Callithrix jacchus: one gene and its partners. The protein of the gene in region 1 interacts with the protein of each later gene in a pairwise test. Links are inferred from orthologs where the notes say so. Each region holds a gene or a part of one and is shown in the gene's direction. Other genes may lie near its edges. The genes, in order: INPP5K, ARL6IP1 and MAD2L1BP.

Region 1 (4,403 bases):
TCCACCATACCAAGCAAGCAAAACATTTATTTAAAGTAGTTCTTGGCCAGGCATGGTGTCTCACGCCTGTAACCAGCACTTTGGGAGGCTGAGGCAGGCGGATCACGAGGTCAGGAGATCACCATCCTGACCAACATGGTGAAACCCCATCTCTACTAAAATACAAAAAATTAGCCGGGCGTGGTGTCGAGCCCCTGTAGTCCCAGCTACTCCAGAGGCTGGTGCAGGGGAATTGCTTGAACCCGGGAGGTGGAGGTTGCCGTGAGCAGAGATTACGCCATTGCACTTCAGCCTGGGTGACAGCGAGATTCTGTCTCAAAAAAATAAAGTAGTTCTTGGCCGATCCCGGTAGCTCATGCCTGTAATCCCAGCACTTTGAGAAGCTGGATCACCTGAGGTCAGGAGTTTGAGACCAGCCTGGCCAACATGGTGAAACTGTGTCTCTACTAAAAATACAAAAAGATTAGCTGGGCCTGGTAGCGGGCTCCCATGCTGAGGCAGGAGAATTGCTTGAACCCCGGAGGTGGAGGTTGCAGTGAGCTGAGATTGCACCACTGCACTCCAGCCTGGGCAACAGAGCCACACTCCATCTCAAAAAAAAAAAAATAGTTCTTAACCTGGCTCCCTGGCGCGTGAACCTCAGGAAGCTTGTTTGTAAAACTGCAATTTTTTTGAGGAAAGTGCTGTCAAAGTATTCCCATAAATAACCCCACCACCCAGGAAAACTGATAAAGAACAATGACTTAAAGGAAATCACAGTGAATCTTTAGCAAAGTAACCATTTCACGTTTGGTCTTGAATTCAGACTACATAGAAGCCGTCTGGCCTTGAAAACGGGCCATATGGAAGCAGTGAGTTATTTTGAGGGGGGCGGGGCGACGGAGTCGCGCTCTGTCGCCCAGGCTGGGAGTACCGCGGCGCGATCTCGGCTCTTTGCAACCTCCGCCTCCCGGGTTCAAGCGATTCTCTGGCCTTAGCCTCCGGAGTAGCTGGGACTACAGGCGCGTGCCACCCCGCCTGGCCTTCTCGTTTATTGATGACTAAACTTCTAGGAGTCTAGGAATCCCCAAACGTCCCACATGCAATAGGCAACCCCATCAGTTAGTAGGGCAAAAGCCGCCTGCAAGTGGAGGTGGAGAATGGAGACGCTCCAGGAGCGGCATGGGCGCCACGGGAGTGGGAGATTACTCGCAGCTGGGGAGGCCGGGTTCCAGGCAGGACGGTGGTTAGGCTGCGTGTCCCCACCCCCGGCCCTCGTTTGCCCACTGGGTCTCTGGACGGCCGTGAGCCGGGGCGAAGACAGCACAAGTACCGGACTCTCGGATCCCTCACGAGCGGGTCAGAGGCCGCGGCGGCGGAGCGACAACTTCCGCCGGAAGACGGCCCCTGGCGCGGGGCACGCTGGGAGTCGCGAGGCGGGCGGCGGGCGGCGGGCGGTGGGCGGTGGGCTGGGCGGGGTCCAGTGGAGGCCGCGCATCCGGGCCGGCTGCGGCTGTGTAGCATTGTGCGCTGATGACGGGCCAGACACGCCTCCCTGACGTCACCGAAGCCGTCCTTAGCTCAGCCTCTCGCAGCTTCGCGCTTGTGGAAGAGTCCCGCCTCCTCCCGCGAGCCGCACCACCGAGAGCCCGCGGTGCGCCCGTGGCCCGTCTCTGACTGAAGCCGGGGCGGGCGGTCGGAGTCCGGAAGAAAAACAGTCAACGACAGCGGGGCGCGTGAGACCGGCCGGCCGCGGGGCTGCTCTGGCCGCCAGACGCGAGCTGCCGGACCACCGCGCGGGACGACGGCGGCCATGAGCTCTCGGAAGCCGAGCGGGCCGAAAGGCAGGAGGCTGGGGTGAGGAGGGGCTGGAAGCGGGATGGCCTGCTGGGGCGGATGGCGGCCGCCGACCCCCTCAGGCTGCGGACTGCGGGCTGCTGGTGGGCGCAGCCTTGGAGGCAAGGCTGCAGACTTCCATGACTGCCTTGGGTTCAGGGACGCCCTCACATTCTCCCAGGCCTGTGCCGGGTGGGCTGTGTTGGGCCCGAGCCTCGCGCGCCCCCTAAGCCGAGGCCGCCAAGCTCGTTCCTACTGGGGCGCGATCGGGTGTCGCGGTTGCTTTCTGGAGAGGACCGCCGTGTTGGGTTTGTGAGGTTAGAGACACAAGGCCGTCACCCTTCAGCTCTAGGTTAGGAATCTCGTTCCTACTTTTCTTTTTTTTTTTTTTGAGATGGAGGTTTGCCCTGTCGCCCAGGCTGGAATGCAGTGGCGCGATTTTGGCTCACCGCAACCTCCGCTTCCCGGGTTCGAGCGATTCTCCTTCCTCAGCCTCCCTAGTAGCTGGATTACAGGCGCGCACCACCACACCGGCCTAATTTTGTGTTTTTGGTAGAGATAGGGTTTCTCCACGTTGGTCGGGCTGGTCTCGAACTCCGGACCTCAAATGATCCGCCTGCCTTAGCCCCCCAAAGTGCTGGGATTACAGGCGTGAGCCACCACGCCCGGCGTTCCTACTTTTCATCAGCACATACATCATGAGTTCTGCCTGATTCCACGGTGACCCCTGGAAATCCACAATCAGATTGAGATAAGATCCTTTAGTGAAGTGACTTAGCCTGGTCTCTTGCCAGCTCTTTCACGGGGAACAGCGCTAATCGCCTACTTAGTCTAAGTCATGATGCACGGATTTGCTGCTAATCGTCGGATCTGAGAGTGGGAACAAGAAATCTGGACTTGTGCTCTCCATCCACTTAGAGCAAGTCTGGGAAAATAAGTCTGAGCAAAAGGTCTTTGTTCCTTAAGCCTCTGTCGGACAGCAGGGGGAGATCGTAGACAAATGAAGCACTTAATCTCAGGCCGAGTGCCTGGGAAGGTGGTTTCTGTATGGTGTTGTTTATGCTAATAGGGAGGGACAGGAAATTGTTTTAAACTGGCCAAGAATTTCTTGAAGTGCTTTGGAGAACGTCGACCTCTAAGAGCAGGGTCTGTTGGAGAAGAGATGTTTTGGCCTCATTTGCCCTTTTCTCCCAGTCCCATTACACACCCACTCCCCCACTTCCCCCGCATTGGAATCTCCAACTGCTGCAGGTCCTCCTCCTTACTGTGCGCCTAGCACTCAGGCCAGCTGTTGCTGGTCTCTGCAGGGGCTGTAGCTCCTGTCTGCTCTGTGCTCTGCACAGTCTGACACTGCTTGTAAGGCTGCTGTCAGTATTCCACTAAAGACATCTGTTGGCCTCCTCTGGTCTCTCCTTCCTCTGAGCCTCTGAGTGGGTCCAGTGTCATTGAGGCCCCCGATCACCTAGGAAGTCTCTTGCCTCCCTAAGACTTGTATGCTGAGGTTAAAATTATCCAAGTAAAGACTTCCCAAGAGAGAGTACTCTTTTTTTTCTTTTTTCATGCAATACTACACAGCCATAGAGTATAGACTCTTAAGACATATGCAGAGAAACCTGTTACTTAGAAACTTCTCCTTGGCCAGGCGTGATGGCTCAGGCCTGTAATCCCAGCACTTTGGGGGGCTGAGGTGGGCAGATCACCTGAAGTCAGGAGTTTGAGACCAGCCTGGCCAACATGGTGAAACCCCATCTCTACTAAAAATACAAAATGAGCCAAGTGTGGTGGCACATGCCTGTAATCCCAGCTCCTTGGGAGGCTGAGGCAGGAGAATCGCTGGAACCCAGGAGGTGGAGGCTGCAGTGAGCCCAGATCATGCCACTGAACTCCAGCCTGGGCAACAGAATGAGACTTCATCTCAAAAAAAAAAAAAAAGAAGAAGCTTTTCCTTAGGCTCACTGAAGTACTTGGCAAAATTGATTTGCTCCAGGGATTTGCTAGGGAGGAGAGAGGAAGGCAATATGGTGTTGTTATCTCTTTCATGTTTTAAATTCATCTGCCCTTGTGGTGCTGAGGCCTAGCACAAGGTAAAATCTGAGTCCCCAGGATCTTCCTGGTGGTCTTAGGAACACTTGGGGTGAAAAGTAGGGTGGTAAGTTGCTGACTGAGCCATAGATGATCAAAGTTGTGTGTGGGTAGCTGGAGGAGCTGATGGAGTTAATCCATTCAGCCCCCTGACCTTCCCTTGCCTGACCCGGAAGTCTTGGGCTCCCTTCGGCACCTCTGCTATGTCAGCAGCACCAGGGCTGCCAGCTGTTTACGGCTGTGCGCTTGCCTGGAGGAGCCAGTCTGCGGTGCGGTTTCCTGCTTCAGTGGACAAAGGTGAGGACGGATAGCCCATCGTTCAGTATCCCCATTCCATCCACCAATGCAGAAATCCGCATTTTCCATCACGAGTACAGGGGATTATGGTGACCTGAGCAGGCCTAGACCCCATTTGTGCACTATCTTTGTTTGTTTTTTTGAGACAGTCTCGCTCTGTTGCCTAGGCTGGAGTGCAGTGGCATGATCTCAGCTCACTGCAACCTCTG
Region 2 (4,245 bases), on another chromosome or scaffold:
TTCTAATCTTCTAATGGTAGAAAAGTCGTATCAGAACTATCCTTTTGGCCGGGCGCGGCAGCTCACGCCTGTAATCCCACCACTTTGAGAGGCCAAGGCGGGTGGATCTCTTGAGGTCAGGAATTTGAGACCAGCCTGGCCAACATGGTGAAACCCCGTCTCTACTAAAATACAAAAATTGGCCGGGCATGGAGGCAGGCGCCTGTAATTCCCGCTACTCCGGAGGCTGAGGCGTGAGCATCACTTGAACCCGGGAGATGGAGGCTACAGTGAGCAGAGATCGCGCTAATGTACCCCAGCCTGGGCAATGGAGCGAGATTCCCCCGTCTCAAAAAACAAAAAATCCTTTTGGAAAGGGAGCGCGTAGTTTAAGTAACTTAAGCACCCACGTATAATAAGCCACTTAGAGGGCGGTGCATTTTTCACACGTTCTCAAACCAGGCCTGGGTTTTTCCACTAAGGCCTTATTTCTACTGGGTAGAAGAGAAACATTGCAGCAAAATCTACACAAAGAGCTCTTTTCATTTGTCCTCAAAACCTCGCAGGGCTGGGCGCGGTGGCTCAAGCCTGTAATCCCAGCACTTTGGGAGGCCGAGGCGGGTAGATCACAAGGTCAAGAGATCGAGACCACCCTGGTCAACTTGGTGAAACCCCGTCTCTACTAAAAATACAAAAAATTAGCTGGGCATGGTGGTGCGTGCCTGTAATCCCAGCTACTCAGGAGGCTGAGGCAGGAGAATTGCCTGAACCCAGGAGGCGGAGGTTGTGGTGAGCCGAAATCGCGCCATTGCACTCCAGCCTGGGTAACAAGAGCGGAACTGCGTCTCAAAAAAAAAAAAAAAAAAACCTCGCGAGTCGCAAATCGGGGCTAAACGGCTCAGGTGCCTGACGAAGGCACCGGACCGTAGAGGGAGTGGATCCCAGTCGCCTAGGGGCCACGAATAGGTTAAGTGTCGCAGGCCCGGCGTCCTCCGCTTCAGGCGGCGCGGTATCTCTCCGAGGAGCTCTTTTTTCGGAGAGGCTCCTGGGCTGCGAGAGCCAGACAAAGAGGGTTAGAAAGCGGCCGCGGAGGCCGGAACTGGGGAACCATTGCGGGACAGCGCCCCCTGCGGCGGCCGTTGAACCGCTACCGACAGACCTGGGTGGGATGTCGCGCAGTCTCTGAACGCTGATTGGCCACTCCGTGTCCCCTCCCCTCGGCCCGACACCGCCTCTGTCTCCTTTGACCTCGATTTCAAGCCATGCGCTGAACTTCGGTTGGTCCGGCTTCCCGGAGGCGTGAGCTCAGCCTGTCCAATGAGGAGCGAGTATCGCGGGGGCTGTCGGGAAGGGCAGACAACCCATATAAGCGGTCTGCGGGGCGTTCCCGTGCGCTGCGGTCGCCGTGCGAGTCCTGGTAGGAGGTTTCGCTGGAAGGTGGCCTGAGCTTAAGAGACAGCATCTCAGAGACGATGGCGGAGGGAGATAATCGCAGCTCCAACCTGCTGGTGAGTCCTGGCTGCCTGTTCCCCGGGAGCCAAGCGAGGCCGCCGGACGTCCGTGGGCTCAAACGCCGCGGCCTCTTCCCTGTCACCCGCCGCGGGCCCGTCCCTTCTCTCCTGGCGCAGGCGACGATGCCTGGCCCTGGGTGTCGATCCCTGACCTTTCCTGGGGACGGTGCTCGACGGGGCGAGGAGGGCGGGTGATTCCTAACCGCCAATAGGGGTCGAGGAGGAAGTGGGAGGCCTGGGGCTGCGACACTAGCCTGGGGTGCCGCAGGGGGCAGAAGGCCTCTTGGGGCCTCTCCAGCGCTTTCGGGGCCCAGGCCCCAGCCGTATTCGGCTTTCCCCGTCTTTGATCTTAACCTGGCTGTGCTTGCTTTCTTTTCCCCCTAAAGCTTGGAAGGATAGAAGGTCAAAAGGCTACTGCTGAGAATTTCTGTTAGAGCTGCTACAACTTAAAACCGCAGGGAGGCTGCGAGCTCACCGTGGGGAACTGAGAGAGTGGGGTACAGCTGAACAGACAATGGCATGTCTTGGCGTTTGTCTGGAATTTGGAAGTCTGGCGGGGGTGGGGTCACAGGACGACTGGAAACAACTTGAGAGTAATAAGCGGGGATCCGAAGGAACTGCAGTGATGTTAGGTATCATAGGCGGGTAAATTTCATTTGTTACGAATTTAAGTGCACCATGTAGGCAGAAAAAAGATACCCTTACATATTCTCGGTTACCCTTCCTTGTGACTGCAGGTCACACACCAGCAATGAAAAACGGAACCAAAGAACTTAATTTTGGGCTTTTGAACTTCCAAGAGCCCAGGTGCTGGCCAATGACGTGACTTCAGGGCAGTTTTGATTGTGCATTATTTTCACTTCATATTTGCTTTTAGAAATGCTTGGTTTGTTCCTTTAAACACACGCCTTCTAACATAGTTCCCAGCATGGTTCCTTTTAAGAGGATTAATTGAAGCACAAAGAAGTTGCTCATGCCCTGTTGAAATGACAAATCCTGGGCTAGGGCTCTTGCTTTGCAGCAAAGCAGTATAACAATAAGGAAAGCAAAGCCTTTGGTCTTGGGTTTCCTGGATGCAAGTCTGTTAACCTCTGTTTATCTGTTTCCTCCTCTAAAATGGGGATAGTAATAGCACCTTTTTTAGGGTTGTTGGGAAGATTAATTGAAGTATAAATATAAAATGCTCAGCAGAGTTCCCACTGCTGGGAGGTAGCCTCTTCTTTCATTAGTATTAAGCATGGAAATAAAGTCAAAAATATTGAGATCAAAAGAGTGGTCAGCGTGGCACAGATAGAGTGGCTTTGTTAAGATGAAGTGTCTTTGTTAAGATTCTGTCATTTGCATGCTTCCCAGTGAATGACATTTATAGAGACAAGGTCTCAGGCCAGGCTAGTCCCATACTCTTGAGGCTCAAACAATCCTCCAGTCTCTTCCTCCTAAAGTGCTGGGATTATAGGTGTCAGCCACTGCATCCAGACTCAACACAAACACTTGGGTTTCTTCTAATTTTTTCTTCCTGTATCAAAACGAGTTTTCAGGGCTTTTGCCACATTAGCTCATCCTAAAGGTCCACTTTCGGCTGTCAGAGTCATAGAGAAATTTGAAGTATAACCAGAATGACCTCCTAAGTGGTAGGAAACACTGTACTGAGGAGATACATTGAGCCTAATATGCCACTTTAATTTAGTGAAAGTAGTTTTCCTTAATTGTGCAATGAATGCCAACATCTGAGTGATTCCATTACACAAAGAGCTATTTTAGAAATTGAATGCTGTTCAGGAAAGTCTTTCCTAATGGATTTAGAAGGGTTTAAATCAATAAGATGACAAAACAGATCAATTCTAACCATCCGAAATAAACAAACTTAAAGCAATTTCGTTTTTATTAATACTCTAGGCACTGCCGCATGATTCCCTGTATGACTTTAAGAAAGTAAACTATTTTGAGCTCACTTTCTTTAATTGTAAAATGAGTCTAATTATCCCTACCTTGTGGCTCTCTATAAGGATCAAGTTACATCATGTATGTAAAGAATAGCCCAGTGCTTGGACCAGAAAAGTGACCATTAAAAGGATATTTAGGCTGGGCCTGGTAGATCACTTGAGATCGAGAGTTCAAGACCAGCCTGGCTGACATGGTGAAACCCCCATCTGTACAAAAAATTAGCCGGGTGTGGTGGCATGTGCCTGTAGTCCCAACTACTCCGGAGGCTGAGGTAGGAAAATTGCTTGAACCTGTGAGGCAGAAGCTTCATCTCACCACTGCATTCCAGCCTGGGTGACAGAGCAAGACTCCAGAAAACAACAACAACAACAAAAAAACCATTGGGTTTTCATCTTTGCAATTGCAGTTTTTCAGATACCAACTTGCTTTAAAATGGCAATTTGGTTAAGAGGTTATTTTTATGTATTTGGAGCCTTAAAATAATTGAATTTTGTGAACCACAAAGATGTTGAGAGTGGTAAAACAATTGCTTTAAATGTTGGCGGTATTTAGGCTGCAGAGACTGCAAGTCTGGAAGAACAGCTGCAAGGATGGGGAGAAGTGATGCTGATGGCTGATAGAGTCCTTCGATGGGAAAGAGCCTGGTTTCCACCTGCCATCATGGGTGTGGTTTCTTTGGTGTTTCTGTAAGTGAACTATCAGATTACTACGGGTTGTGTTTCTTGTTAATAAAAGCCTTTTAATATATAGCTTTCATTTGTGGGTGTGTCTTAAGTCTTTTGTAATATATAACCCAGAAAGAATGTGTTTT
Region 3 (2,344 bases), on another chromosome or scaffold:
CGTCTTTACACAGATTTCTATTCATTTCCCCATATTCACTCTAGCCTCTGTGGTGCCTATATCACCAATTACTAAACCTTTATGGGGTTCTGCTCTATGAATCAGTTTGGATCCCTTGGGAGTCCCTTCTGTCAGCACTTGGTATTCAGCTCACTTGAACTCTTAACTCCTCATCTGCTTTTTTTTTTTTTTTTTTTTTTTTTTAAGACAGGGTTTCACCATGTTGGTCAGGCTGGTCTTGAACTCCTGACCTCAGGTGATCTGCCCACCTTGGCCTCCAAAGTGTTTGGATTACAGGTGTGAGCTACCATGCCCGGCCTCTTCATCTGCTATCTTCCAAAACTTTGTGTTTGCCTTTGGCCAGTGTTGTATAGTCTCCAGTTCTTTTGCCCTTTGGCGTTCTCTTTCTTGCTCTTTCCTTTCTTTGTTTCTTAATTTCTTTCCTCTCATTTTGTAGTATTTCAGGTGGAAGCACAAATAAGCATGTGTTCAGTTTACTATTTAAGTGGAAGAACAAGTTCAAAGTTATGTTTATTAGACCAAATAATCCTCATTCCTGTTATCACTTGTCATGCCATCAAATCTCTTGTTTAGTTGCTTATATCTGGATGCCCTCCACCTTCAGAACACTGTTTGCTCCTCTAAATGTGGGAGAATTATGGTTTTGTACAAATAATATATTTTCCTTTTCAATATAATGCCCTCTGATAAAACACAGTGTTTTAGCTATGGCAGTTCATTGAGCTAGAACTTTAGTCCTGTAAGTCTATGTACACATCCCAGCAGGGTTCTTTTCAAAGGGCATTAGCTTCTCCTTGTCTTATCCTTCTCTCCCACCATTGTTTGTCCTTACAGACAGAGGAGATGCTGAAGAAGAAACCTCGGGCCACCACTGAGGTGAGCAGCAGGAAATGCCAACAAGCCCTGGCAGAACTGGAGAGTGTCCTCAGCCATCTAGAGGACTTCTTTGCACGGACACTAGTACCACGAGTGCTGATTCTCCTTGGGGGCAATGCCCTAAGCCCCAAGGAGTTCTACGAACTCGACTTGTCTCGGCTGGCCCCCTACAGCGTGGATCAGAGCCTGAGCACAGCAGCTTGTTTGCGCCATCTCTTCAGAGCCATATTCATGGCTGATGCCTTCAGCGAGCTTCAGGCTCCTCCACTCATGGGCACCATCATCATGGCACAGGGACACCGCGACTGTGGAGAAGATTGGTTTCGACCCAAGCTCAACTATCGAGTGCCCAGCCGGGGCCACAAACTGACTGTGACCCTGTCATGTGGCAGACCTTCCATCCGAACCACGGCTTGGGAAGACTACATTTGGTTCCAGGCACCAGTGACACTTAAAGGCTTCCGCGAGTGAATGAGCGCTTCTTAATCCTGAAAACACAATGGCTGAATTATCTTTCTCCATGTGGCACTGAATCACCTATCTAGTTTGGAGCTAGAGTTGCTTCCTGGTGAGAGAGGAAGCAACTCTCCTTTTGGTTGTCTGCCTCCTTCCTCAGATTTCCTGGTGGGCTGATGGCATGTAGCTGTGACTGTAATCATTGCTGAACAACATCTCTTTGAATCAAAGGTTGATCTTCCCAGAGGGTGCTGGGTCAGTGTTTCTGTTAGGGATTGGAAAGCAAAGATGGGTCCATAGACAGACACTCTATGGAGGTGGCCCTTTCTGCTCTTTGCTGTGTTCTTTCTGAATTTTTACCAGGAACATAATGTGGATGTGACTCATGAACTTAAATATAAATAGATTCTTATTATATTTTCCTGAAACTGTTTTGACTTGAAGAAACTTGTCAGGCTTGGCCAGGTGCAGTGGCTCACACCTGTAATCCCAACACTTTGGGAGACTGAGGCGGGTGCATCACGAGGTCAGGAGTTCAAGACCAGCCTGCTAAGATGGTGAAACCCCGTCTCTACTAAAACTACAAAAAAGTTAGATGGGCATGGTGGTGGGTACCTGTAATCCCATGTTCTTCAGCCTAGGTGACGAGTAAGACTTGTCTCAAAAAAAAAAAAAAAAAAAAAAAAGGCTGGGCGTGGTGGCTCATGCCTATAATCCCAGCACTTTGGGAGGCCGAGGTGGCAGATCACAAAGTCAAGAGACGGGACCATGCTGTCCAACACGGTGAAACCCCGTCTCTACTAAAAATACAAAAATTAGCTGGGCATGGTGGTACACGCCTGTAGTCTCAGCTACTTGGGAGGCTGAGTCAGAAGAATTGCTTGAACACAGGAGGTAGAGGTTGCAGTAAGCCGAGATCATGCCACTGCTTTCCAGCCTGGTGACACGGAGACTCTGTCTCAAAAAAAGCCTTGTCAGGCTTGATTGAGGC

What was found.
Region 2: the proteins of INPP5K (region 1) and ARL6IP1 interact in binary tests that used the Homo sapiens proteins (3 or more experiments, as listed by UniProt). The link is inferred for Callithrix jacchus from reciprocal best matches to the Homo sapiens genes INPP5K and ARL6IP1.
Region 3: the proteins of INPP5K (region 1) and MAD2L1BP interact in binary tests that used the Homo sapiens proteins (3 or more experiments, as listed by UniProt). The link is inferred for Callithrix jacchus from reciprocal best matches to the Homo sapiens genes INPP5K and MAD2L1BP.

Annotation. Positions count from the first base shown.
Region 1 is NC_133506.1:66,715,585-66,719,987, forward strand, and holds the start of INPP5K (inositol polyphosphate 5-phosphatase K), read left to right. Parts: upstream 1-1,584; 5' UTR 1,585-1,792; coding exon 1,793-1,836; intron 1,837-4,403. UniProt on the Homo sapiens protein: Inositol 5-phosphatase which acts on inositol 1,4,5-trisphosphate, inositol 1,3,4,5-tetrakisphosphate, phosphatidylinositol 4,5-bisphosphate and phosphatidylinositol 3,4,5-trisphosphate.
Region 2 is NC_133513.1:20,243,748-20,247,992, reverse strand, and holds the start of ARL6IP1 (ADP-ribosylation factor-like protein 6-interacting protein 1), read left to right. Parts: upstream 1-1,370; 5' UTR 1,371-1,451; coding exon 1,452-1,487; intron 1,488-3,986; coding exon 3,987-4,120; intron 4,121-4,245. UniProt on the Homo sapiens protein: Positively regulates SLC1A1/EAAC1-mediated glutamate transport by increasing its affinity for glutamate in a PKC activity-dependent manner.
Region 3 is NC_133505.1:52,113,218-52,115,561, forward strand, and holds the end of MAD2L1BP (MAD2L1-binding protein), read left to right. Parts: intron 1-855; coding exon 856-1,368; 3' UTR 1,369-1,768; downstream 1,769-2,344. UniProt on the Homo sapiens protein: May function to silence the spindle checkpoint and allow mitosis to proceed through anaphase by binding MAD2L1 after it has become dissociated from the MAD2L1-CDC20 complex.